4 linked regions of the Caenorhabditis elegans genome follow. The protein of the gene in region 1 interacts with the protein of each later gene in a biochemical or structural test. Each region holds a gene or a part of one and is shown in the gene's direction. Other genes may lie near its edges.

Region 1 (8,056 bases):
GTTGCGATTTCCGATCTTTCTTTGCAATTCAGAGTTTCATGGAGAGCAAGTTTGCAAGTCTAGTCTTCCGCTTTCGTCATGTCAGTTTCGACATTTCCGTGCCTAACTTTTGGTACTTTCAATTGTGATTCTAAAGGTTCTTACTCAGTACACCACTTCCATCACAACCATCCCCTCAACTACAATTATCCTTCATAGCATTGGCTCTCTTATTCACAACTACCTCACTTCTCTTTTGCTCCATTTTTTCTCACAAAAGCCTCTTCATAATTGGTGGGAAAACTTTTCGTCTATTCTTTACAGAGCTCTTCGAGCATTTTGAGTTGTCACAAGACATATCAGAGATGCTCCTCATATTTCCATTCGCTTTTTTCACTCAAAAATCTTCGTCTCCCGCCTTCTAATTAGTCCGATATAAGAAGAGGATAGAGAAAAATGAATGTGATGATGGTGAAAACGAAGACATTAGGAAATGAAAACACTTTTATTTTTACAATCTGACGTCTCTAATTCAAAGAAAACATGAAGAAGAAGAAGAAGGAGAAGCAAAAAATAAAACTTTCATCGTCTTTGAATATAGGATATGCTGAAGCGGGGGAGAAGCTCTTGCGCCAAGAAACAGAAGCAGGAGCTTTCAACTCGAGTCAAATTTGGCCAATTTTGCTACTTTCAGGCTCGTCTTCTTCGACGTTTTGCTCCGCCTTATTCTATCCAAACTTTTCACTTTCTTTAGTTTTTTTTTTGAAGAACCGAAAAGTTCATTCCAATTTCCGCTTGGGTTGACAAATTCACAAATTCAAATCCAAAGCCCTCCCTCAGCGTTGCTAAACTTTTTTACGAAGTGAATGAAAAGCAGAAACAGGCTTTTGCAAATGAAAGAAGAAGAAAAAGCAGCAAAGCTGTTTCTATCTCTGCTCCACCCCCGATCCTTTCATAATATAATATTTTTAATATTCAAAACCTACGGCTATACAAACGGCAATGGAATTTCAAGATCCATTCCCCCAATCTTGGGAGTAGAGGAGCTGAGCATCCGGCGGCTAGCGAGGTAGCAATAACACTGCATTCCATTTCTTCTTCCTCTCATCCTCCTCCTCCTCGAATTGAATGAATTCAATTGGACGGGCGACTGAATTTATAAAGAAATATGAAAATGAGAAGACGGGGAAAATATGGAATGCAAAAAGAAAAGAATTTCATTGTCCTCATCTCTCTAAGTTTGGTCAGTTTATCCTACGGCTTCTTCTTCTGTCACCTTTTTATGTGCAGAAATAGTTGCGTCATTCGTAAGGTCACATGAAGTTTCGTTTAAGTTAGGCAAAGAGCCCATCCACTGTCACAAATTCGGTTAGCTTCAGAATTTGCATTTTTCTCGGTCTCAACATCCGTCGGTTTTTTTATTTGGCCCCGTACCTTCCATCTTTTTCTCCGAGTTTGATACTTCTTGTGGGTACTTTTTGTACTCTCACTCGTATCATACTTCTTGATAGGTCTTCTCAACTATCAACTTGTTTACAAGTTTGTAATATTTTTAGAATTTTCTGTTCTGTAAATATGTTTACATGTTGTTGGATTTTGATGTTTTAAGTATAAAGGATTTGATTGCATTGTGGAAACTTTTGGCGTTGCATTTTAAAGTTCGACGTCACAAAAAATAATTTTAAAAAGTAAAATAAGAGAAGTTATAATAATCCTTATTTTTCAGCTATTTTTCAATACAATTTAATACACAAAAATGATTTAACAAGCAATATAGGAAAATCCGACCTAACCGGACTTCCATCATTTTCCTTCCCCTAACTCAAAAGTAATTATGCTTAAAATTTTCAATACTTGGGATATGTTTGCCAGTGGAGTTTGATCTTGTACCTTTTACTTTTTTATCGTAACTTCAAACCGAATTCCGGCAAATATTTTCATTTTCAGCATAAACTTTTGTCGTTTTCTTTAATGATAAGTGCGAAAAATTCCTCTGGCACGAGAGTCAGCTCAATGAGTTTTTTTCCTGAAGTGACTCCGGAAATGGGTGCTCACCTGACATGTGGTCACGGATCAACACATGACTAACTTTGGAAATATCTATCCAAACCTTATCCGCTCTGTAATTAGAGTTGGAGCGCGCTAGGCCGCCTCACACACTTCCGAGCGCTGACCGAAATTTGGTTATATTCTGATGTTATTTTTTGTCGGGGAGAGATGCGTTGCACCCCGCTCTGCGTTTATCTGTCCGTGCTCAACATAAAAAAGGTTCTTTTTTTTGAGTAAAAAAGCAACAAATTCCGCCCATGCTTAGATACTGGGCCCATCATGGCGGCGAACGGAAGGACTAGGAAGCGAGGCTTGTTTTGAGTTTCTTTTAGTGATCGAATAGCGGTTGGAAGTAGATACGGATATTGCACATATATATATATATATATATATATATATATATATATATATATGTGTGTGTTTTGAAGTGAAGAGACAGTGAAATAGTGACAAAAAGCTGTTGAGATATCCATTTAGGTTTTTGAATTTTCTATTTTTCAAAATGCGTAACGTTTATGGTTTTTAATGACGTGATGTCTCTCTGAAATAGCGGGCATTTAAAAACAACTCTTCTTCCAAGTGATAGAAAAAGAAATAATTATCAATTTATTTTTCCAAGTGCCTGGAATTTGTGACATTTTCTTTGTAATCGAATACATGCTCAATTGCCGAAATTGTGTAGCGGCAAAAAAATTAATCAAAAAACGAATGTGAATATGAATTTGGTATAGTGCATATCAATTTTTCCGAAAATTTGTGTACTTTTGAATGTATTAATCTTGTTCAGTTTATGCAAATTATTCCTTCTGAAGTTCATTCAAAACTTTTTGGCTCTCTTTTTTCAATTGTACTCTTAATTTTCCCAGTAAAAAAATCATTAAACTTCCTGTGCTATTTTTATTTTTATATTTTCTGATTTTGCAACTCCTTCAATTTCTGAATAATGATTTCTTTAAGGAAGTTTTATCTGCAAGATCTCCCTAATTGGCAATAATTGGTGTTTATCTTAGATTTTTGAGCAAAAGCTTGCAGTATATTTTTGTTAGTTTTTTTGTTCCAAAAAAACACACTCACCCTATTATTTGAGTGTTTTTGTTTTAAAAAGTGAATGAGCAATGTGTTGCCAAATCTTTGTCCCTTTTGTCATTTTTTTCATAGTCATCTCTCATTTCTAATGACGTTTTCCGGTTTTCCGAATCGGAGCCGTTTTTCATTTGAACGCTTGTTTTCCTCATTTTCAACGTTTCAATATTAATAAATTGTTGTTTTTTTTCAGATGTTCAAATAGAATCAGAAACAATAGAACAGAGGAACAGCAAACAAAATGGAGTTTACCGAATGCAAAACTACATTTATTCATCTGCCCGATAAAAGTTTTTTATACGATGTTTTTGTGTAAGTTTTACTTTTGTGTCTCAAAAATCTTTCAAATAATTGCCCAGTACTGTTGTATTTGACGTATTTTCAAAAAGTACAGTTTATCATCATTAAAAGTTATCCTATTATTTGTAGAAATCATCCCTAAAAATAGCGAATAAAACCAAGTTATTGAAGAAGGTTATCTTATCTTAAATTATTGTGTCCTCAAAAGTGATGACCATAAAAAAGAGAGCCATTAATAAATATTTCAAGAGCAAAAGTGGAAAAAAGTGAAATTAAACGTTTTTTTTTCAGAAGTGTATATAATTTCTACCATCCTATACATGCCTACTTATCAATATTTCTATGCGTGTTGGGTACAATCGCTAATTTCTGTAACATCGTCGTACTAACGAGACGAACAATGCGAACGCCAGTTAATATGATTTTGACAGCAATGGCATCTTGTGATACAGTTGTGTTATTTTCAAATTTAATATACACAACACATTACTCATTTGTCGCTTTCAAGTTTTGTCATCCGAAACATTGGTCCTACTCTTGGGCGTTATTTTTAATTGCTCATGCTCATCTTTCATTAGTTGCACATTCTTCAAGTGTTTGGTTGTCAGGTAAGCTTTTCATTCTGAAGACAACTGTCCAACTCTTCGATTTTATTGCAGTTATGCTTGCACTTGTTCGATATGTAACACTTCGAAGTAGGGGAAATATGGGTGGTATGCAAGTGACGTTAAGGCATTCTTATTATGCCGTTGCTGTTACTGTATCCCTTGTAGCAGTGCTTAATGCACCGAATTTTCTGAATTACAAAATCAATGAACAGCCATTGAATGAAACGTGTACCGATTTGGATCCAATGTTCTGGAATTCGCCCGCGTATCTTCCTGGAATTGCAGACATTGCAAAAGCAAACAGCTGTCTGGTAAGATTTTTGAATTTCAGTAAAAAAAAAACAAGATTTTTGTTAAAAAATAATGTTTGACAAATTGTATACAAACAAAATTTCTCGAAAAACTTTTTTATTGGAACTTAGATTTATAAACTAAAAATTTTGGCAAGATCATCATAATATAACTTTGAAGCTTTGGATTTATATAAACCTTTTTGGAAATAATTGATCGATCATATGTACATATGATATCATGAAAATTATACAAAATAATATTTATCATCGTGATCGTCACCCTAGCAAAAACCAATTTCCTAATTTCCTGCAGGTCTTCCGGTTATCTTATTGGATATCCGGTATGGTATTCAAAGTATTACCATGTGCGCTTCTATCGTTGTTTGTTTGGCTCCTTTTACGAATTCTTCGTGAAGTGCGTGAGAATCGTCAACGTCTTCTCAAGAACTCGCAACATCGACCACCGAATCAAACGACTACTCGAAACGGACAAAGACTGAGCATTTCAGTTGCAGGCAACGAGAAATTAGGCAGAAATGGAAGCTTACGGGGGAGAGGAGAACGTGTCGATCGGACAACTCATATGTTATTGGCAATTGTAGCAGTTATGCTAGTGACTGAATTACCTCAAGGAATTATGGCTGTCTTGTCTGGAATGTGTTCTGAAGAATTCCGAATTTACATTTATAACAATCTGGGAGACATTCTCGATTTGTTCTCACTTTGCGGTTCATGTTGTTCATTCATCATTTACTGCTCAATGAGTGGACAGTTCAGAAATGTAAGTTTTGATATTACTTGAAAAAAATTTCAATGAGCGACATCTTTTCAAAATACCTCAATGAAAAATGTGTTGTATGCTGTTAGAAAATACTACAAACTTTCTCAACATTCGGTGGAACTTTCCAAGCGAATTTGTCTTTTTTTTCTTTGTTTTCTTACTAACATGATGTTCGGCAGCGTCTTAAAATGCGCTTAAGATCTCTACATTTTCCGACAATTGCGGAGTTGTTTTTACAAGAAAAATCATGGAAGTACATACTTTGCTCATTTTATGAATGTGTGTTTAGTTCATTTTAACACAGGGAACAAGCATTTTCATTTGATTTCTATAAATAAAAATTGGTTCATTTTCAATATAGAAAAATCATAAAATTTTTAGGAATTCCACCGTGTCTTTGTACCTGCAAAGGTGAGATGTCTCCGAATGTCATCGCCGTCGATTCGTCGTCCATCCGACGCCTACAGTACCACAAAAATGACTTTTCTAAAACCAAACGAGAAAAACGGAAATGGAATGAATGGAAATGGCACTTATTCGGAAGATACAAGGTCAGCAAGTGTTAAAGTAAGAATATCAACACATGTTTTTTCTACAAAACTTTTGAATAAGCCATGTTAATTTTCAGATGGTCGGAATCCAGGTACGAAGAAACAGTACGGAAATAACGAGAATGACTGGATGTGATTCAATTACTCCATGTTCTCCAATGCCAACATCATTTCCATCATCCCCACTTCCACCGATTCGAAGTGGAGAAGATGAATCCACTGATGAGACATCACATCTACTTAACAGCTCAGGACCCAACTCAACAGCCAGTGCTGATGGAATTCGTGGACACTTTCAAAACATTTGATATCAGAATTTTTTAAACACACAAATTGCAACACGTGTCAGAACAAAACCATTAGTATTTACCATATTCACGGGTTTCTATTTCAATTTTCTGATTACGTTGATTTCTTCTTAAGCGTGTCCTATTAATGAATCTTGTTTTTTATTAGTAACATACTTTTTTTTTAAATCTTTAAACTTTTCAGAATTGAAAAAAAAAATAAAGTAATTGTTCAGAAATTAAAATTCTTTCAATTTGCATATTGAGGTTATTGATTTATGTATATGACAACCTTTTATGAATGAAAATTGCAGAATTGGGAATATTGTATCCTCGGAGAACTTCAAACTAGCTCCCATAGTAGGTAGACATAGATTGATTTTCATAAGCATTTTTCTGGTTTAAATGAATTTTTTATCATGCCATCACAAAAATATTGATGGCAAACATGACAGTCGTATGTCACCGTGTAATTAAAACACTTACTTAAAAAGGATAATCTTCCAACTTGTAAAAATGTTTCGGCATAGCAATCTTTTATTTGTCAATGGAAAGTAATAGCTAGAGATCAATTAACCGACAAAGTTACCGGGTGCCGAAATGAAAGAGAAAAAAACAGAAAAGCTGACTATAATGAAAGCATCAAGTGGGGGAGAAAAGTAGAAGAAAACGCACAACCCGTTTCGGAATGTTCTTTTTCGGTTTCTGGCTACACAAATTGAAAAAAATAAACTAGTAGCTACTTGGAAACAACAGCTCTTTCTGGTGTTGAGATCGTGACGTGGCGTTTTAGTTGAGTTCCCAAGTTTCGAATTGGTGACATTGAACAATCTCTGGATGGAACATTTGAAGCAAATTCTCCGGGTGCATTTGAATTTCCCGCTGGACGATAAAAGCAGACAACAGCTACACAATTATTTGCTGTGTTCCAATACCGTGCAGCGCCAAGTTCTGTTGTATCTTTCCAAACAACTTGTGAAAATCGTTGACATTCTGAAATTAGAGACACTTATGAAATTGACTCGGACCAAGAGTAAGCTAAGATTTTAGTTCTTGTCTAAATATTATTTTTTAGTTGATTATGTTTTGAATGGGAAGTTGGCAGCCTTTGGGACAGCAAGAATTATGCGAATTTTTGAATAATATTTTGTTTATTTGTTAGCCTTATTTTGTTTATTTGTTAGCCAGTTCTGCTGATACAAAATGAAAATTTCAAATTTTGCCCAACTCAACCTATTCGAAATTAAGAAGCAAACTTCAAAAACTAACTTGGATTCCATCGCGGTTTGTCGAAATCAAAGAACTGTGCTTCTTTTTCCCATTCTTGAATAACTTCTTGTCCAGTTGGTAAATGTGACTGTTCATTTGCCTCTTTCAAAATTAAATTCTCTCCAATTCCAGGCAACTCTGGATACAATACTCTCCCTCTATCTGCCAACTTCACGGCCCACGCATGAGCCATTTCAGCCAATTCGGTTGACCAACAAAGATTCTCGTTTCCGTATCTTTGCCTGCACTCATTATGAGCATCTAGGCAAGATCGTTGAAAATTCACTTCGCCTGAATACATATTTTTATTAAACTGAAATGATTTTTAGAAAACTCACTAAGGGCAGTGTATTTGCTATGTTTGATCATGTATTTAACGTCAGTAATTGTTTGCATCATATGCTTGTCTAATTGAGCGTCAAAATTTTTCCGTGATTCTTCCCCAATTGATGAGCAAACTGCTTCATAGTCATCTCCGTATGAGTTTGAGACATTGCTGCAAATTGGTTTTTTTTTAAATTAATGTTAATTTAAATTGAACTAAAAGTTTTAAAATTAGTTAATATGAAAAAGTGGCTATATTTCAACGAAATTGTTTCCTACGAAATATTTTTTTTTCAAATAAATCATTTAGAAATACATCCTTACTTTACTATATTCGTTGATTTTGATTGTGGAATAGGAACTGGTTCAGTAGGTAATGGAACTCCACCAGCTGCACCATTTTCATGTTCATGCCGTTCTGGATCCGTTTTTTCACCCGTAAAATCACTCTTTGATTTTCTCAATTTCTTGCGCGAAAAGAAGCGCTTCATGTTTCTAAAAGAACCAATTAAAGAGCAAGAAATAGGAAATG
Region 2 (5,586 bases), on another chromosome or scaffold:
TTTAGGAATCAATCATGTTTGGAGAAGTTGCATACCAAATGCAAAAGAACAAATCCGATCAGACTGTACAAAAATTACTAGTGGAGAAGGTATGTAATATTCAAATTGTTCCATATAATAAAAAAAAAATATATATATAACTTTCAGGAAACCTTGAAGTTTGCACATGCGATGGTAATTTATGCAACAATGACGTCAATTTAAATCTAATACTAATAATTATGTTTTCTGCAGCTGTGTTATTATTATGATGAGTTGTTCATTAAACCTACATATCGGAATCAAATCAAACTTAGATCTCTATTCTTTTCATTTTCCATCGGTTTTATATAGAACTTTTGCCGAAGTATTTTGATTGCATACCAAATAAATGTTTTTACGTTGTTGGAAATGTTTATTAAAATTTAAAGGAACACAGAATAGCCAAAGTGTTTTTAATTTCCAAATTTTTTTTTACTCCTCGAACAGTACCCTTGAACTTCAGCTCGCTATTTTGAATATTCCTGTCACGAAGTCGGTGAATACAAAGATTCACTCGCTCACGACTTATTAATAAATCTAAGGATTTATTAACAAATGATTAAATGTAAAGATTGATTCATTGTTATTACGTAACACTTGCTCTTCAACACTCAACATCATCTCTTCAATCAACGGCAACAACCATGCAGAAGGACGGCGTCAGAAACCCCGATTCAAACTACCGCCAAAAGGACGATTCAAGGCGCATGAGGTCTCGCCACGACACATACAACAACGACTGCGACCGTACTCTTGTCATCATGGCGCAGCGCACATTGGCCTATATCGTCAGTCTTCATCGGTCTTCACCACCGCAGCACGTGCCCGACGGTGGCACGTTTAAATGAATGTTGAGTGTTAGTGATTCAAGGTTTTCCCCTTGAATCACTCGTAATAAATGAGTTAATTAAATAAGAGTCTTTTGTTAGTTCCTATCAGTACCTCATGGGCCGGAAACCACTCCGAAACAATTCCCATAATTTTATTGTTTTCCATTTTCCAGGAAAAAAAACAGTTCTTTGACATTTTCAAGCCAAAAACTATGTGTGTTCCGTCTTAAGACCATGCATTGGAAATTACGTTCGTCACTATTTTTGTGTGTATGTGTTTTGGATTCCTCTTCTCACATTTGCGGTCACAACAGTATCGTTCATCGGTTTTTATGTTGTGATAAAATAGAGAAAAAGTAAAACGAGCATATTTTTGATAGCGGAAGAAAAATTTTGAGATTACATATAACAAAGCGGAAAGTGATTATCAAATGTCAAATTATCAAATAATTTGGAAGCTTTTCAATTCAATATACAGGGTTGATTTTCAATAGGTGGTGCAAGTAAAAAAGAAATACTGTATTTATATTTAAAGATAAATACATTTTGTTTAAACACGTAAATATTGTTTCAAGCTGGCCGCATATCAAAATAAAACCGTACAAAAACTTTCCAGTTTTTCTTAATTTTCAGTCAAGGTTTTAGTAAAATAGCGAGGCGACGAAAATATATAACTTTCCGAGAAGTTCAGAGCAGTTAATAATTATTATCAACTTTTTACAGAATGGTTTACATTTTTTCAACATTAATTATAGTTAAAGGACAATACATTTTTCAAAATATTCACTGTAAATATGAATGAATACTTTTGGAAAATAATCAAAAAGCTGACTGACTACTGTTAAACAATGGCGGAGTGATAAACTAGCAAATTCACTTATTATGCACATAATTATAATGCAGGATAAGATGACTGACTTTCAAGACATTCACTATTTAATGATTAGACTTCCATTTTTGACCATCCCATTTTGACATAAGAACTCCTTGATATTTTGTTCTCTTTGAAAAGTCTTGTTTTACTCTACTTTAAATGAATTCATTTTCGTCATGGACGATCTCTTCAAAAAGTATGTGGGCACCTTTACTTTGAATACACGCAATCTTCACCGTAGTTTCATGTTGCTCGAATGAATATTCAATGATTGGAGGGCAAGATTTATGAAGAGATTGCCGTGAAATCATTTTGCGAGGCGAATCATCGAGGAAGCAACTGATTCGTGATGAATAATTTGCGCGGTGGATAAGTTTTTGGTTTCAAAGTACCCCCCCCCCCCCCCCCCGAGAAGAGGTGGAAAAAAGTTGAAGAATTAGATGAAGGAGAAGTCCAAGTGTTACGTCAACAATTTACAAATGCATAGAGTTGGTATAATTAGTTTCGGAGGGTGTCGGTGGCTAAATTTATCTGTTAGTTACCTCCCAGCATGAATTCCGTGTATTCACTGTGTTCAGTCCCTCGACTGCTCGGTTATACAGCTGATAGATAGACGAGGAAGAAGAAAACACACAAAAACGTAAAGTGGGCCTCTTTAAAAAAATTTAAAAAACAAAATAAGGACACAAAAATATAAATATGCATTGTTTTCATTTTTCAAAACGAGGGTAGCTTCGAGAAATTTCCATTTTCAAATCAAACGAATTGCTACAACAATGTCAAAATGTTAAAATTTTTCTTGGTGGTACTGTATGACTCTAAAGTTTGATCTGGAAAAATTTGTTTTTTCGTAGATAACGTTTCTTACCTAAAAAGCGGTTTTTAACCTGATAGTTGAGATAACCTGGTTTATACAATAAATTTTCAAATGAGATAATTTTTAATAACTTTAAAAAAAAATTTTTTTATATCGTTGGTTTTCGAAACTTGATTTTCAGCAAATTTTTAAAATTTGAATCAACTTGCTCTCAAAGACACGTTTATTGTCTTACGACTTTTAAAACCGGAGTAAATTTAATTTTTCGATGAATCAATTTCAGATAAATCTCAGAACAAGCACTTTACTGTTTCTTACTTGTTTTATGCAATTTACCATTTCAAGTTTTCTATGCCCCCGCGTTCTTTTACCAAACGCCTTCCAGTGGACACTCTAGAATTTCTTCAGCACAAGAAGGCGTGGCCTCTGAAAAGGCGGAGCAAAGTGCGCGGAGCCCAAGTTAGTGGAGAAGACGGACCAGTATATAAGCCACGAGCAGTGCTCAGTCCACACTTTTCAAGTAGAAAATGCTCTCCGGAGTCCTTTTTTCTATTTTTGTACTCGCCATATCGGCCAACGCTAGCTGTGATGTGTCCGCACTGACCACCGAGAATGAGAAGGAACTCGGACTCCGGATTTGCCATCTTGAGGTATGTTGATCATTTTTTTTAGTTTCCAAAGTGGTTTTTTATTCCTGTAAAATCTAAAATGTTTTGCAGGCGGAGATGCAAGTCGTCCAAAGAGCCTTGCAGGAGGTGATGCAGCAGACAGATGTCACACTGTACGATCAAGAAGTTCCGGTGATGAACAAGCGTAAAAACGAGTTTATCCGATTTGGAAAACGCAGTGACGGGTTAGTACATATTTGGTATTTGTCGGTCATTTCAAATATCATTTCTTTCTCAGAATGGAAAAACGAAAGAACGAGTTCATCCGGTTTGGAAAGAGAAAAAATGAGTTCATCCGATTCGGAAGATCCGATAAGGGACTTGGACTCGACGACAACGACGTTTCCAGTGAGTTTTTCGGTTACACCTCTGATGTATTTTATCTGTAAGTGGTTTTGCAGTGGAGAAACGAAAGAACGAATTCATTCGATTCGGGTGATTCGCGTTCAGAGATGGATGTGTGCTTCTTGATGATTTGGGCCAAATTGTGTTCTATACTGATAATGTTTTGTTAGATTTCTTATTCTCCATGCTAATTTTTTTTCTTTTATCTCTGCAAAACGTCAGTTAGAATAAACTTTCATTGTTTTTCTGGTTTTTTTTTCTTTTTTTTTCCATCTTATCTCAATTTTCACAAGACTTGGATATTCACAGGCTTGATGTATGAATTGCATAATATGTCCCAGCCGAATGACCAAATCCGTTTTTTTTCTTTGTATGACCACTCATCGTATTCAAATTTGCTTACAAGTACGCATGATCCCCCTGCGGGCGCGCGCATCAAACAGACGTAAGACCGGTTTTCGAGGAAAAACTGTGTATATCTTTCTATCCGAAATCCTGTGTCATTGAAATATTTCACAATTTGGATACAATTTTCTCGGCCCAAACATGTTGTATAGTCAGTGAGAAGAAGAAAAGTAAATTTTTTGTTGAAATGAGACAACATATTTCATGTTTCGCTAGGCTACGAGAACGTGGGACACTTGTGATTTTTTTTTGCTTGACAAATGATGGGGCCAAGCGATTTCAAGAAGTCTAAACAAGATAATTTTGGCGTCATAGTTTTTGATAGAAGATTTTTTGAAAATTAGAATCAAGATGGTTCTATTGCAGTACATTCAAAAATAGGAGTGGGCTTCAGCCGAGTTTCACGATTGATAGTTCAAGAATTTTCTCTAAATTAAAACACATAACTATACTTTCAGTTCCCACTAAACTGAAATTCTCAATGCTTCAAAACTGCTTACCGTTTTCTACTAAGTTCTTGATAGCTCAGTCGGTAGTGGTGGTCGCTAGCAATCTGGAGGTCACGAGTTCAAGTCCGGCCTCACTCCCTAGGTTCACCCAGCCTCCATTGGCAAGGTGAGCAATCCATAACTGGATTTTCCGCCACAGTCTCCGGCTAGGACGTGGCTTAAATTATAGCCCAGTAGGAGCACCATCAGGCAGTGTACCTGGCTCCTAGATCCGCAGTGCATCGCACTTGAAGAAGGGATCGTCTTTTAATCCTTTAATCCTTTTTTATACCTTAAAACTTTATTTTTACTATCTGCAAAGTAAGTTCATCTCAGATTTTCTAATTAAAAAACCCCTGCTTCGTTGTCGTAATAATGCGTCATCTCAAAGTTATTGAAATTCCGCCACTTTTCTTCTGGATCTCACTTTCCACGGATAAAAAAGAAAGCCGAAACTTTCTTATTCTCATGCCTCGTCACCTCCGAAACTAGTCCGATGACTCAATAATTCGGTGAAGAATGGCTTGCCATAATAAAAAAAAATTGGGCGATATAGTCAACGGCAAAATTTAAATTCAAGGTGTATACTTTAAGCAGAAATACTTGGTCAGTGCAAATTAATTTTCAGTTCACTAAAAATTAGTCAAGCGGAATCTGGTAAACAATTAGGAAAACAAACACTTGAGGACGGAAGATTATCCCTGAAATACTTTTCTTTTATATTGTTGTAAAAATTCTCAAGACGCTTCGAAGAATTTCGGAAATGTTCGCAACACAGGATAAACGAGATGTTGACCAGCTGTGGTGGAGGTATGGGCTATTGCCATTAGTCGCACTTTAGTCGATGATGATGGCAGACAATTACCGTCCTATTGACAGCTAGTTTCTACTGCCCGCCGCTACCGTCACCACGTAATCTGGCCACGCTATTGCTTCTGCACACGATTTTTCTCTCGGAGGAGGAGGAGGAGGAGGAGGACAACTATTTTTTCGTTACTGCTTTATGTTTTGCGAGTTTTACGATTGATCTAAACTTTTCGATTCTTTTTGTTAAATTTTACGAGAAATATAGAAATGTTTAAGTTTGGAAAAAAGTGATTTGTACGAAATTTCCTTATTAATGTAGGACCATTAAAAA
Region 3 (3,219 bases), on another chromosome or scaffold:
TTAATCCAAGACATAAATCAAGTTTCTAATATGACGATATTTATAGTAAAGCTTCGCTGCAATGGCAAATCTAAAAAATAATGTTACACGCAAAACATAATTCTCACTCAATAGTAAATACTGATTATCAATGAAATCCGAATTCCCTAATGATTCCTTTTAAAAGTTATTATTCATTTATTTTTTCTTCATTTCCAAGACACATTTGACGATAGTGACGAACTCAAAACTATCTTTAGCACTTCTCCTAAGTCATTTCCACTCATTCTAGCCACTAATTATCTATCGTCGCCCGCAAAAATTGCAACTTTCTTGAAGATTAGCCCCATCAAAACGTATTTCCTTAACATCCTCATGTTTTTAGTACCTTTCACTCCATATTTGACTGGGTAAGTGATGTCAATTTCCTTTGCTTTCCATCCCTTGTACATAGTTCGTTTGATGACCTGAAATTGCAATACTGAAGATGATAATGATTGATTTGATGCGTCATGAGAAATTCCAACAAGACAAACAAAGGAGGAGTTTGGAGCCAGTTTCAGATAATTGCAAAACTATAAATGCGCTAGCTCTCCTCTGGTTTTTTCATTTGTATGATCTTCTTCCTTGTTTCCCCTTTATGTACCAACCTCCATATCAACCATTGAAAGAACTGGCTGCTCCAAGATGAGCCGACTGGCAAGTTCGGTGTCTGGCTCAAGCATGTTAGACTCAGGTCCAATTGGGCATCTCAACGACATGACGATTTGTTCACGGAAAGGGTCAATTGGTGGGTTGGTGACCTGTAATCAAGTGCTCAATCTGTGTTCACTCTACCAGGAACTTTTCTCACTTTTTAATACATATTTTCATGAACAATTTTTTCTAATTCTTTCACTCGGACGTCATAGTTAAACAAGCTTAGAAATGAAAATACATTTCTCCAAAAAAAGTCGTCGTTCCTCAAAATTACGATTTTGGGCAGTCTTAAGTTTGTTTTTCTAATCAACTACATGGATAGAATAGGAGGAGTATGCGAATGAAGTCAAAACAATTTAATGGCCTCCGACTACTTTTCTAGATTTGAACTTCGAAGAACCGTTGGTTACTCTCTTTACTCATTTTTTCCCATTCTGCTTATGAACCCACCTGGGCGAAGAGTTGCTGGAAATAACTGAACAACAGCGGGCTGTAATCAGACAGACAAGCCAACGCAGCATCATTCCCCATTGACCCGAGAGCTTCCTTCTTCTCCTTGATCATTGGAACTAAGAGCAAGCTGAAAGTGTCATGGGTATAGGCATACAAGGCCAGACGACGGTCAGAGTCTAGATGAACATCCTTTTTCTTCATAAGACCAGGGTTCACCTGCTCCAAATGAAGACGATTAAGGTATTCATTGGTGACGGCACCGTGAGAGAGCTAAAAATTAGTTAAAATTTGTCACAATTCAATTTTTTTTTTGTCTTTTACTACTAACCACATCATCCTTGCGAATCAAGTCCAAGTAGATTCTCGATGCGGAAAGTTGCTTATGAGGTCTTGACAAAGCAATTCTTGTCTTAAGGTCCTCATCGAGCTCGATCTTTTTGAGATGTGTGTCCACAAGGAGCATGCGTCCGGGTTTGAGACGATCCTGTAAAGTACATTGATTATAATTAAAATAACTTATTTATTGCAATTCATTTAATTCCTCTGGAGACTTTTGCGCGTGCTTCACTAGTCTGATCTTTCACGTCTTCACTCAAAATCACCATTTCTACATGATGAGATGTTATTGCGCAACTGCTCTCGCCCAACGCTCTTTGACGCTAGTTCACATTGTAATCCGATCTGTACGAGCTAATGAGCACGCATCACCCACTTTCTCTACATTTCTATCTGCTCTTCGTTTTACTATCTCTTGCCAAAAACGATCTCGTGTGAAAAAGCTCTCCATTTTCAGGTACACACCCGCACACAGAGCTTTCGTCTGACTCATTGTCAGTCGTTGCCAAACCAATTGTCGCAAACCATGCAAGTTTCTGGAATCCTATCTGCTCTTTTCCTCGTCCTTCTCGCCGTCATTGTAAGTCCCTTCCAGTTTGTGCAACCAAAGCGGATACTCCCCATTCCCACTAGTCGGGATCAGTTATTACGTGGCCAACTAGCTTATTTAAAGGGTACTACTGTCGCCCAGCCAGCTGTCAACGACAACACTCTTGGAATTTTCGAAGCTTCAGCAATGGCAAAACGTCTTCGTGGAGAACCCATTCGTTTTGGCAAACGCTCCCCGCGCGAGCCCATTCGGTGAGTATGAGAGATAATTGATGATATGAAGTATATCAAGTAGTTTAAAAGTTTCCGAATTTTTTTCAAAATTTGGAAAAACAACATAAATCAAGCTTAAAACCCAAACACATATTTGGAAACGTCATGTATTCTTACTAGAATCACTTCTTACAAAAATGTTTAATACACTTGCAGATCGATAGAATTTATTTTATTATTTTCAGTTTCGGAAAACGATTCAATCCGCTGCCAGATTACGACTTCCAATAACTCCATCCTATCAATGATTCAATGCACGGTGAACCCCACTACTCAGCCAACATCATATTAGATATTCCAACATTTTCTTCCCATTCTCGTCCTATATTTTGATCCGTACTTTCAATGCAACAACATTTTTTAAACTATGTTTCCTATAACTTCGAATAAAGTGGTTGGGTTCCGCATGGAATAATAGCCCATCTGTTAACCAAGTCTTACGTTTTCTTCGCGAACAAAGGAAACGACTACTGGCACTGAATTTCAGATTTTAGCCAGATTAGGTCAGAAAACGAGGCACACTATTTTCAAGATCAAAATTTTAAAATTCAGTCTTGCTAGTTCTTCAAAGAATTGTTTCGGAAATGTCAATGAGTGCTCATAATTAAACATGTGGAGTGACTTTGGAAGGTGCTAGAATTTCCAAGAAGCTTTGATTTATTAGTTTTCGTTTTAATTTCAAAACACTGTTCAATCTTGAGAACAAGATTAGTTCAACCTACTTAATCATTTCTCGCGTTCTGACAAGTGACGTTTTTGACAAAAAATAATGTTTAATTATTCAAAAACAGAAAATCCCCCCTCCTTAAAGCTCAGTTCATTAATCAGCTTCGCTTCACAAATTCGACAAGGTGGCATCTCAACCAACAGGCACCAATCGGATTCTGTCATTTCTTTCTTTTTTGAGAACAAATGTCTATCTACGTTTTG
Region 4 (6,915 bases), on another chromosome or scaffold:
CGTTTCACAAAGTTTATCAATTTTTAGAATTTTTACTTTTTAGAATATTTTAGATTTTTTTAGAATATTTAGAATATTTTTTTAGAATAGAAATCCGTTTTCTAATTTTTTCCAAATTTCAGAACTATTTATTAAAATAAAATGGGTTTTAACTAATATCTAAAGAATTTATATCCTAAAAATTACTGTTTCAAGAATTTAATTTAAAAATTACTCACAACCTCATATTATTAATGGAAGATTAATTTTCTAGACGAATTAAAAATTTAAATAAAAAATTTTTTTAATTTTTTAAAAAATTATCTGGATTCACCAACAAAAAAACAATAAAACCGACCCCTCGGACGTCATTGACTGCAAACTACAGTTTATTTTGGCCCGAATATCTGAAATTTAATTCAAAACCTTTTGGCTTAAAACAAATTTTTTTGAAATAGAAGTTTAATATTGATTTTATTGAAAAATCCCCCTTTTCATCAATTACATCTTTGATTCTTACATAATTTTCAAACATCATTCCCAATTAAGCCACGCCCACAAAACACAACTCGCATTTTGTCTCCCAATCCATCATTCTCGATCAAATTCGGAAAAATCATTCTCCGAAAAATTTCGGAACTTTGCAAAAAAGGGGCGGGGCTTATTTTTAACAATATAATATTGAGCTTAACTGAAAGATTTTGAAAAAAAAAACATTTTTTTATTAAAAAATTTTCTGTTTCACAAGATTCGATTTAAGTAAGGTACGTATGCACACAGAAAGACGGCTGGATAGGCAGGAGTTTTTTTTTTCGGATATATATTTAAAAAAAACAATTTTTAAGTAATAGATATTTTCACAAAAGGCACATTTCTAGGAACATTAAATAAACAGCTTATAAAATTAAAATATTGCTAGAAGTTCATTTGAATGTGTTTTGGACAAATCATTACTCAAAGTAAAACAGTAAAATATTTACTGTAAGCAAAATCGCATCGTTCTCAGCAAAGATTGCATCATACACTTAAAGTAGTCTCTGTGTATCTGGTGACACGGAGGAAAAAATTTTTTTGAAAAGTGATTCATTTTTATAAAATATCGAAATGTTTTCAAACAGAATTTCAACTCTCAATAATTTTCCGTTTCGGAGAAGGTGCACGAAAATATTTTTGTTTCATATAATCAATTTTCATTTTTAGAAGGTTTTTTTCTTAACCATCATTCATTGAATTTCTCGATTTTTTTTCGGAACCTGCAAGGATGTAGAAAAATGATTCTTACAAAGTTCTAAAAATTTGAACATACTTTTGAAAATTTTACTGTTTCCCATTATCTATTTAGGTTTGTAACTTATACAGAATTCAATGTTATAGATCCATCAATTTCAAATAAAACGGAACAAATCGTTTAAATAAATAAAATCACTGTTTCAGGTGGTTTATTTTAAAATATGTTTTACTTACATTAGGAAACACTTGTTACAACGAGTGATTTTTATATTGGCAAATTATTATTGTTTCAGTATAACCAGCCATATTTGTAGCATTCGTTGAAACAGGAAAAAAAATTCAAAAATAAAACCGGCAAAATGTCTCTTAATCCATCATTCATTCATTCAATTCTGCATTTTCCGAAATTTTTCGGAGATTTCCGAAAAAGGGGCGGAGCTTACATTTTTTCATGAAAATTTACTTTTAAATTTATTGAAGAGCATTAAAAAAACAGCTTGTATGTTTAGTAGTTTTTTCTCTGATTGATTTTAAAAGTTTTTATTTTAATTTTTAAATAAAACAAATAGGCAGCGTTTCATTGGAAATATGAAAACGTTAATATTCCAAGCGTTTTATATTAGAAATTCTAGAAGAGAACTGTCTTGGCCAAAAAAAAGTATCAAAACAGTTTACAGTTTCGAAAAATTTGGAATAAGTTTCAAGTAACAGAACATTTTTAAAATATTCGGTTTCAACAAAAAATTTTATTTGTTTTTTTTTGTTTCAAAAGTGTCAAATAATCTCTCGTTCATTATGCAAACTGGAAAACGAAATATGCCTTAAAATTGTGAAAAAAAAGTTATATACTGAAAGCATATAAATTAAGTATCCATCAGGTTCTAAAAACTGCTTAATTTTTTCCAAAATGCGTTTTTTATTGAAAAAGACAATGTTATTATTTTTCGAATAGTTATTAAATGTTTTTTGTTAATCGGAATTTTTAATACGTACTTCACAAAATATTCCAAATAATTACAGTACGTTAGCTTTGAATATATGTTCGAAAACCGTCTTCTAATCCATCATTCATTCAAATTTTGAGAAATAATTTTCCGAAATATCACGGAGTTTGCGAAAAATGGAGCGGGCTTGAACTTTTTTAAAGTATTTACAAAAATTATTATTTATTGCTTCCTTGGGGGTATTTGCAAAATAAATTATTTTTCGGGATTTTTCATAATGCCTACCGCTATGTTGCTTACCTGCTTTATGACATTCCACTACTAACACTCCCGCCTGCCTGATAGCTACTCATATATCTACCTACCTGCCTACCTGGTGCCTCTATGCCTAACTATTGCCTTTCTTCATTTCGACGGTAACTCGGAGTTTTGATATTTGCTCAGTGTAGCTACCAACACCTTTTTAAAGATTTAAATCAAAAAATATAGAAATTATTTTTCGGCAGTAGGCATGTGGTAGGCAAGCACATTCGTGACAAGTTGATTCACCAAAAACATCATCAGACCAAATCTGGGCGGAGCTTGAGCATTCCACCTTTACGTCCGTGTTCTCGGCACGTTTTCAACGAGGCGTGCTCAGCTCCGGATACCGTATCCGATTTCTCAGAAGCCTCTAAGTTTCCCGTGCTTTCTTGTCAAATTGATTAGGAAATGATTCGGATTTTCTGAATTTTTGAAAGATTTTTCGGTTTTTTCAGTGATTTCAATCGGAAATTCGGAGCCGGAAATGCATTAGGAAGGGGCTAATAGCTATAAATTGACACGGGAAATTCAGATTTTTCATTCATTTTTCACACATTTTCTGTTACTTTTTCTCAATGATTTTTTTGTGTTTCCATTTTTTTTCCTTTAAAAAAATTCTGTGTGGAAATATTTTCCGCAAAACTTTATTTTTCCAGATGCTCTCCAAACTAGTGCTCACCACTTGTTTGTTGCTCACAATTTCGGGATCCTCCCAGGCCGCTTCAATGGAGGAAATTCAGTCGGAAAAGTTTTGCGAGAAGTTCCCAACACTCCACATGTGCCGACTGAAAGAAGAGCTGACAGGCAGTTTGGTCGAGTTACAGTATCTTTTGCAAGATGGTGAGTCGGCTGGAATATTTTTTTTAGTTGGACGTTGTTCGATAGTTCCTCTAGTTTGAGAGATTTAATGGAAAATGTGAAATTTCTTGAAAAAAATAGTTGTGAAAAGTATAGATTTTTTAGGATTAGAGCACAATATTAAAATTGTAAATCATGAGTGATAGAAATTCGACTTTTTTTCTTTTTTATTGGTAGTTTTATAGAAAAACGTTACTAATGAATTCAAACTCTCAAGTCGTTATTTCTCGTTTTCGTAAAACGGAAAAAAACATTAATTTTAACGTTTAATTTTAATTTATCACGTTCTCTTGAAGAATCTTAATTTTATTTTACCGTTTCAAGCCTTTCATAAAGATGGTAATGTTTCCTCATTCTAATGATGACTCTGTAACGTCGCATTTCAGAGAATATAGAAATATTTCAATTTTTAGTCCGTGAAAACAACCATGATAATAATAAAACGAATTTTTTTTTAAGTTCGTGACTACTTCGGTCACATTTGAAAATTTTTCGTAGCAGCAAAAAAATGTCTCGTTGTTTAAAATTATTAATATTATCCCACCGCAGATTTTTTTAGGTTTAGAGCATTTTTTTAGAGCTCAGAGCATTTTTAGAGCATTTATGTAGGTCGGGTCTGTCATCCAAATAAAATAAGAAAACGATGAAAAAAAGCTATGAAAAAGTCAAATTTCAACCTAATTTTTCTGAACCTTTTTTCATTTTCTATTTTGAAATTCTACTTTTTTTCGCATATAAATTTGGTAATTGAAAAGAATTGACTGTGAGACCCCTAAAAATGAAAAATGTTACAAAACATTTGAAACAGTGAACTTTTTTTTTGAAATTTTTTACAGCATCATTCCCGGAGCTATTCTACTAAAGAATCTTTTATAAAAAAACTTTTTAACTTTCAGGAATCAACAATCAACAGCAAGCCGGAGCTCAAGAGGTACAAAAGAGAAAGAGCGCCTTTGTCAGATTCGGAAAGAGATCTGCTCCAGAGGAAGAGGCTATGGTATGTTAAAAATCCCATTTTGTAAGCCTCCAACTTTTTTTTTCAGGAAATGGAAAAGCGTAAATCAGCGTTTGTCAGATTTGGAAGATCATTCGGAATGGAGCCACAGATTACTGAAAAAAGAAAGAGCCAGTACATTCGCTTTGGAAAATAATTTTTTTTTTTTGATTTTCAAATTCCCACCATTTATTCCTTTTTCAACCAACATTTTGAGCAACTCCTACTCTCTTGGGTACCAATATTTCTCTAAATTTACAAAAATTCACAACCCCCTGTTAAAATTCCCAGTTCGTGAATTTTCCTTCTAGTTTTTTTTCCGAGAAATCTTCCTCCGTGGGCTAATAATTTTTTTCTTTTTGGTGTGGACAACTTTTATTAATTGACTGAATGTGTTTGTCAATCGGTGTGGCGATGACACCCCAAACCTCCACAATCCTGTTTCTTGATCAGCTTGAAATTGAGATTTGAATAAAACTGACTATTTTGTTAGACTGGTGACTGCTGGAAAATGTTGTTTCAACTTTTTGATGAATTCTTATAAAAATAGCAGCTGAAAATTGATTGTGAAATTGTGTGTTTCAGAGTGTAGTTGAACGTTTGCAGCATCCTTCATCGGCCGGGTTTCAGCATAAGTGGCCGCACCCCTTAGGAGACGGACCCTGTCCAAATTTAAAATCGCGTGATCCTTGAAAATTTCGGTTACTATGTAGTTTTCAGGCATTCAGGAAGATAGTGGAGATCCAATTGACATTGAAAACTTCATGCAGAAGTAAAAACTTACTGTTTCACTTTGTTTTTATAATTTCATATACTTTTCTTTATAGTTTCTTTGTAGTTTTCTTAGAAAATAAATACGAATACTTTAATAGTCTCAATTTTTCCGAGAACAAAAAAAAACATTTATTATCATCTTTGAGACAGAACAATTGAAAGAACTAAAACCAGAGAAGAAATGTGGGTAATTTGATACAAATTGAATATTTTTAGTACTCAAAAAATACGACCAATACACAGAAACAGAAAATAAATAAATCAGGGAAAATGATTAATTAAACTTATAGGAAAGCGATTCCGAAGCCGGATGCTCAATTGTGTAGCGAACTGGGAGAAGACGATGTTGGCCGGGTGCCAAAATGACACACCATTCAAGATTATGGTCTTTGTTAAGACGAGCATCTGGTGGAGATGAGTTCTTGGAGGAAGACGAGCTTTTGATCTCCGGAGACACGATAGAAACCTGGAACTGAGAAAATTGTCTGCAAGGTCAAGGGGTGAACTCTCGGTCACTTGCTCACCAACCTAGCACACTACCACTGCGCCAATAACCCGCTTTTTTGTACTAACTACATTTCTAACTAATTGCAAGAAAAATGTTACCTAGTTTCATTCTTTTGAAACAGAAGCTCAAAACATTTTCCAAAACCGAAATGAGGTGTGGTAGTTGGGATTTGGCGGGGGCGGCAGGGGTAGTTTCTTCTCAATTTTAAAACTTTCAGATTTTGTAAAATTTTATCTACTTTCTGCGCTCTAATGAAAATAAATTTAAATTCTCACCTTAATCTTGTCATCATGGCTTTTTGGAATCTGCTCCTTTACCGTAATTTTTACACTTTGACGAACTTTTGCACTGCGGACACTGATCAGCTGCTCGTGAGTCATTAAGGTACTTTTTGACATGAACCCCACCTGAAAAAATGAATAGTAAGTTACGAGTAATTAATTTGGAGATTTTTTTGGTTTTTCAAACATTTGAAACAGTAATTTTTTTGAAAATTAAGAAGAACGTATTTTTCCCATTTTTTGAGCAGTAACTATGACATAAACATTTTTAATTATAGATCGCATATTAAACGCATGTCAAAATTGTACCAGTGGAATTTAAATAATTTTTTCATCATTTTCAAAAATTTTGAAAATATCTTATTTTCATTAAAGAGCTTTTTGGAAAAGACCTTGTTATTTAAAAAATTATTGATCGAAAACGTTTTGGAAAATAACGAAAATTTGAAACCGTAATTTTTTTTTCTTCAATTTTTCTAAATTTTCTTACCTGATCATAAGTCACTGTTGGTGCTTTGTATTCAACTTTCACCGACGGATCGACTCCCATATTACACCGAAATTCCTCTCCGGGAGACACCAATCTCAAATGGGTCTGTAACAACAAATGGGTACTGTAGATTTCGCGGCGAGACCCACATACCTTTGTCACAAAACAGTTATTGACGTAAACTGCGGCTGCCCCGGGGAGCAGTGGAAGTTGAGATGTATTTGTGATCAGAGCTGATAAGTAAGCACTTGTTGAACGAGAAGGTACGGTTTCGTGGGAGAATGCGCAGGAAAGCTCACTCTGAAAAATAATTGTTTATAATTTTTGAAAACCCAGCAATTCCTAGAATTTACTGTTTCACAACTTTTTAATATTTTATTAAAAACAATAAATAAAATTATGATTTTCAGTTTATTCTCTATTTATAGTTTTTTTTCAAAAATAAACGAACGTTTGAATATTAACGAAACAATTTTTCAAAATAAATTACAGTTTCAAAACTAAAAAAAAGTGCTTTTGCTTTAGAAATAGTTATTTGTTCCATATATTACCAG

Evidence for each region.
Region 2: the proteins of dmsr-1 (region 1) and flp-8 interact in a test that uses a peptide from one of them, tested with the Caenorhabditis elegans proteins (one large-scale study listed by BioGRID).
Region 3: the proteins of dmsr-1 (region 1) and flp-2 interact in a test that uses a peptide from one of them, tested with the Caenorhabditis elegans proteins (one large-scale study listed by BioGRID).
Region 4: the proteins of dmsr-1 (region 1) and flp-17 interact in a test that uses a peptide from one of them, tested with the Caenorhabditis elegans proteins (one large-scale study listed by BioGRID).

Annotation. Positions count from the first base shown.
Region 1 is NC_003283.11:11,435,466-11,443,521, forward strand, and holds dmsr-1 (G-protein coupled receptor dmsr-1), read left to right. Parts: upstream 1-3,304; 5' UTR 3,305-3,352; coding exon 3,353-3,423; intron 3,424-3,702; coding exon 3,703-4,019; intron 4,020-4,070; coding exon 4,071-4,330; intron 4,331-4,625; coding exon 4,626-5,093; intron 5,094-5,474; coding exon 5,475-5,660; intron 5,661-5,721; coding exon 5,722-5,952; 3' UTR 5,953-6,099; downstream 6,100-8,056. Other genes in the region: F57B7.2 (SCP domain-containing protein), read right to left, coding at 6,671-6,924, 7,201-7,491, 7,539-7,696, 7,849-8,056. UniProt on the Caenorhabditis elegans protein: G-protein coupled receptor.
Region 2 is NC_003284.9:14,878,469-14,884,054, forward strand, and holds flp-8 (FMRF-Like Peptide), read left to right. Parts: upstream 1-2,950; 5' UTR 2,951-3,069; coding exon 3,070-3,192; intron 3,193-3,261; coding exon 3,262-3,395; intron 3,396-3,448; coding exon 3,449-3,599; downstream 3,600-5,586. Other genes in the region: sssh-1 (UPAR/Ly6 domain-containing protein qvr), read left to right, coding at 6-89, 148-251.
Region 3 is NC_003284.9:10,093,930-10,097,148, reverse strand, and holds flp-2 (SPREPIRF-amide), read left to right. Parts: upstream 1-1,924; 5' UTR 1,925-1,993; coding exon 1,994-2,268; intron 2,269-2,474; coding exon 2,475-2,520; 3' UTR 2,521-2,719; downstream 2,720-3,219. Other genes in the region: W07E11.1 (glutamate synthase (NADH)), read right to left, coding at 368-446, 630-782, 1,129-1,401, 1,460-1,615.
Region 4 is NC_003282.8:17,188,089-17,195,003, reverse strand, and holds flp-17 (FMRF-Like Peptide), read left to right. Parts: upstream 1-3,112; coding exon 3,113-3,296; intron 3,297-3,491; exon of another isoform or gene 3,492-3,512; intron 3,513-3,673; exon of another isoform or gene 3,674-3,697; intron 3,698-4,054; exon of another isoform or gene 4,055-4,075; intron 4,076-4,210; coding exon 4,211-4,311; intron 4,312-4,357; coding exon 4,358-4,465; 3' UTR 4,466-4,800; downstream 4,801-6,915. Other genes in the region: C52D10.3 (DUF4140 domain-containing protein), read right to left, coding at 5,357-5,548, 5,866-5,997, 6,362-6,466, 6,515-6,661.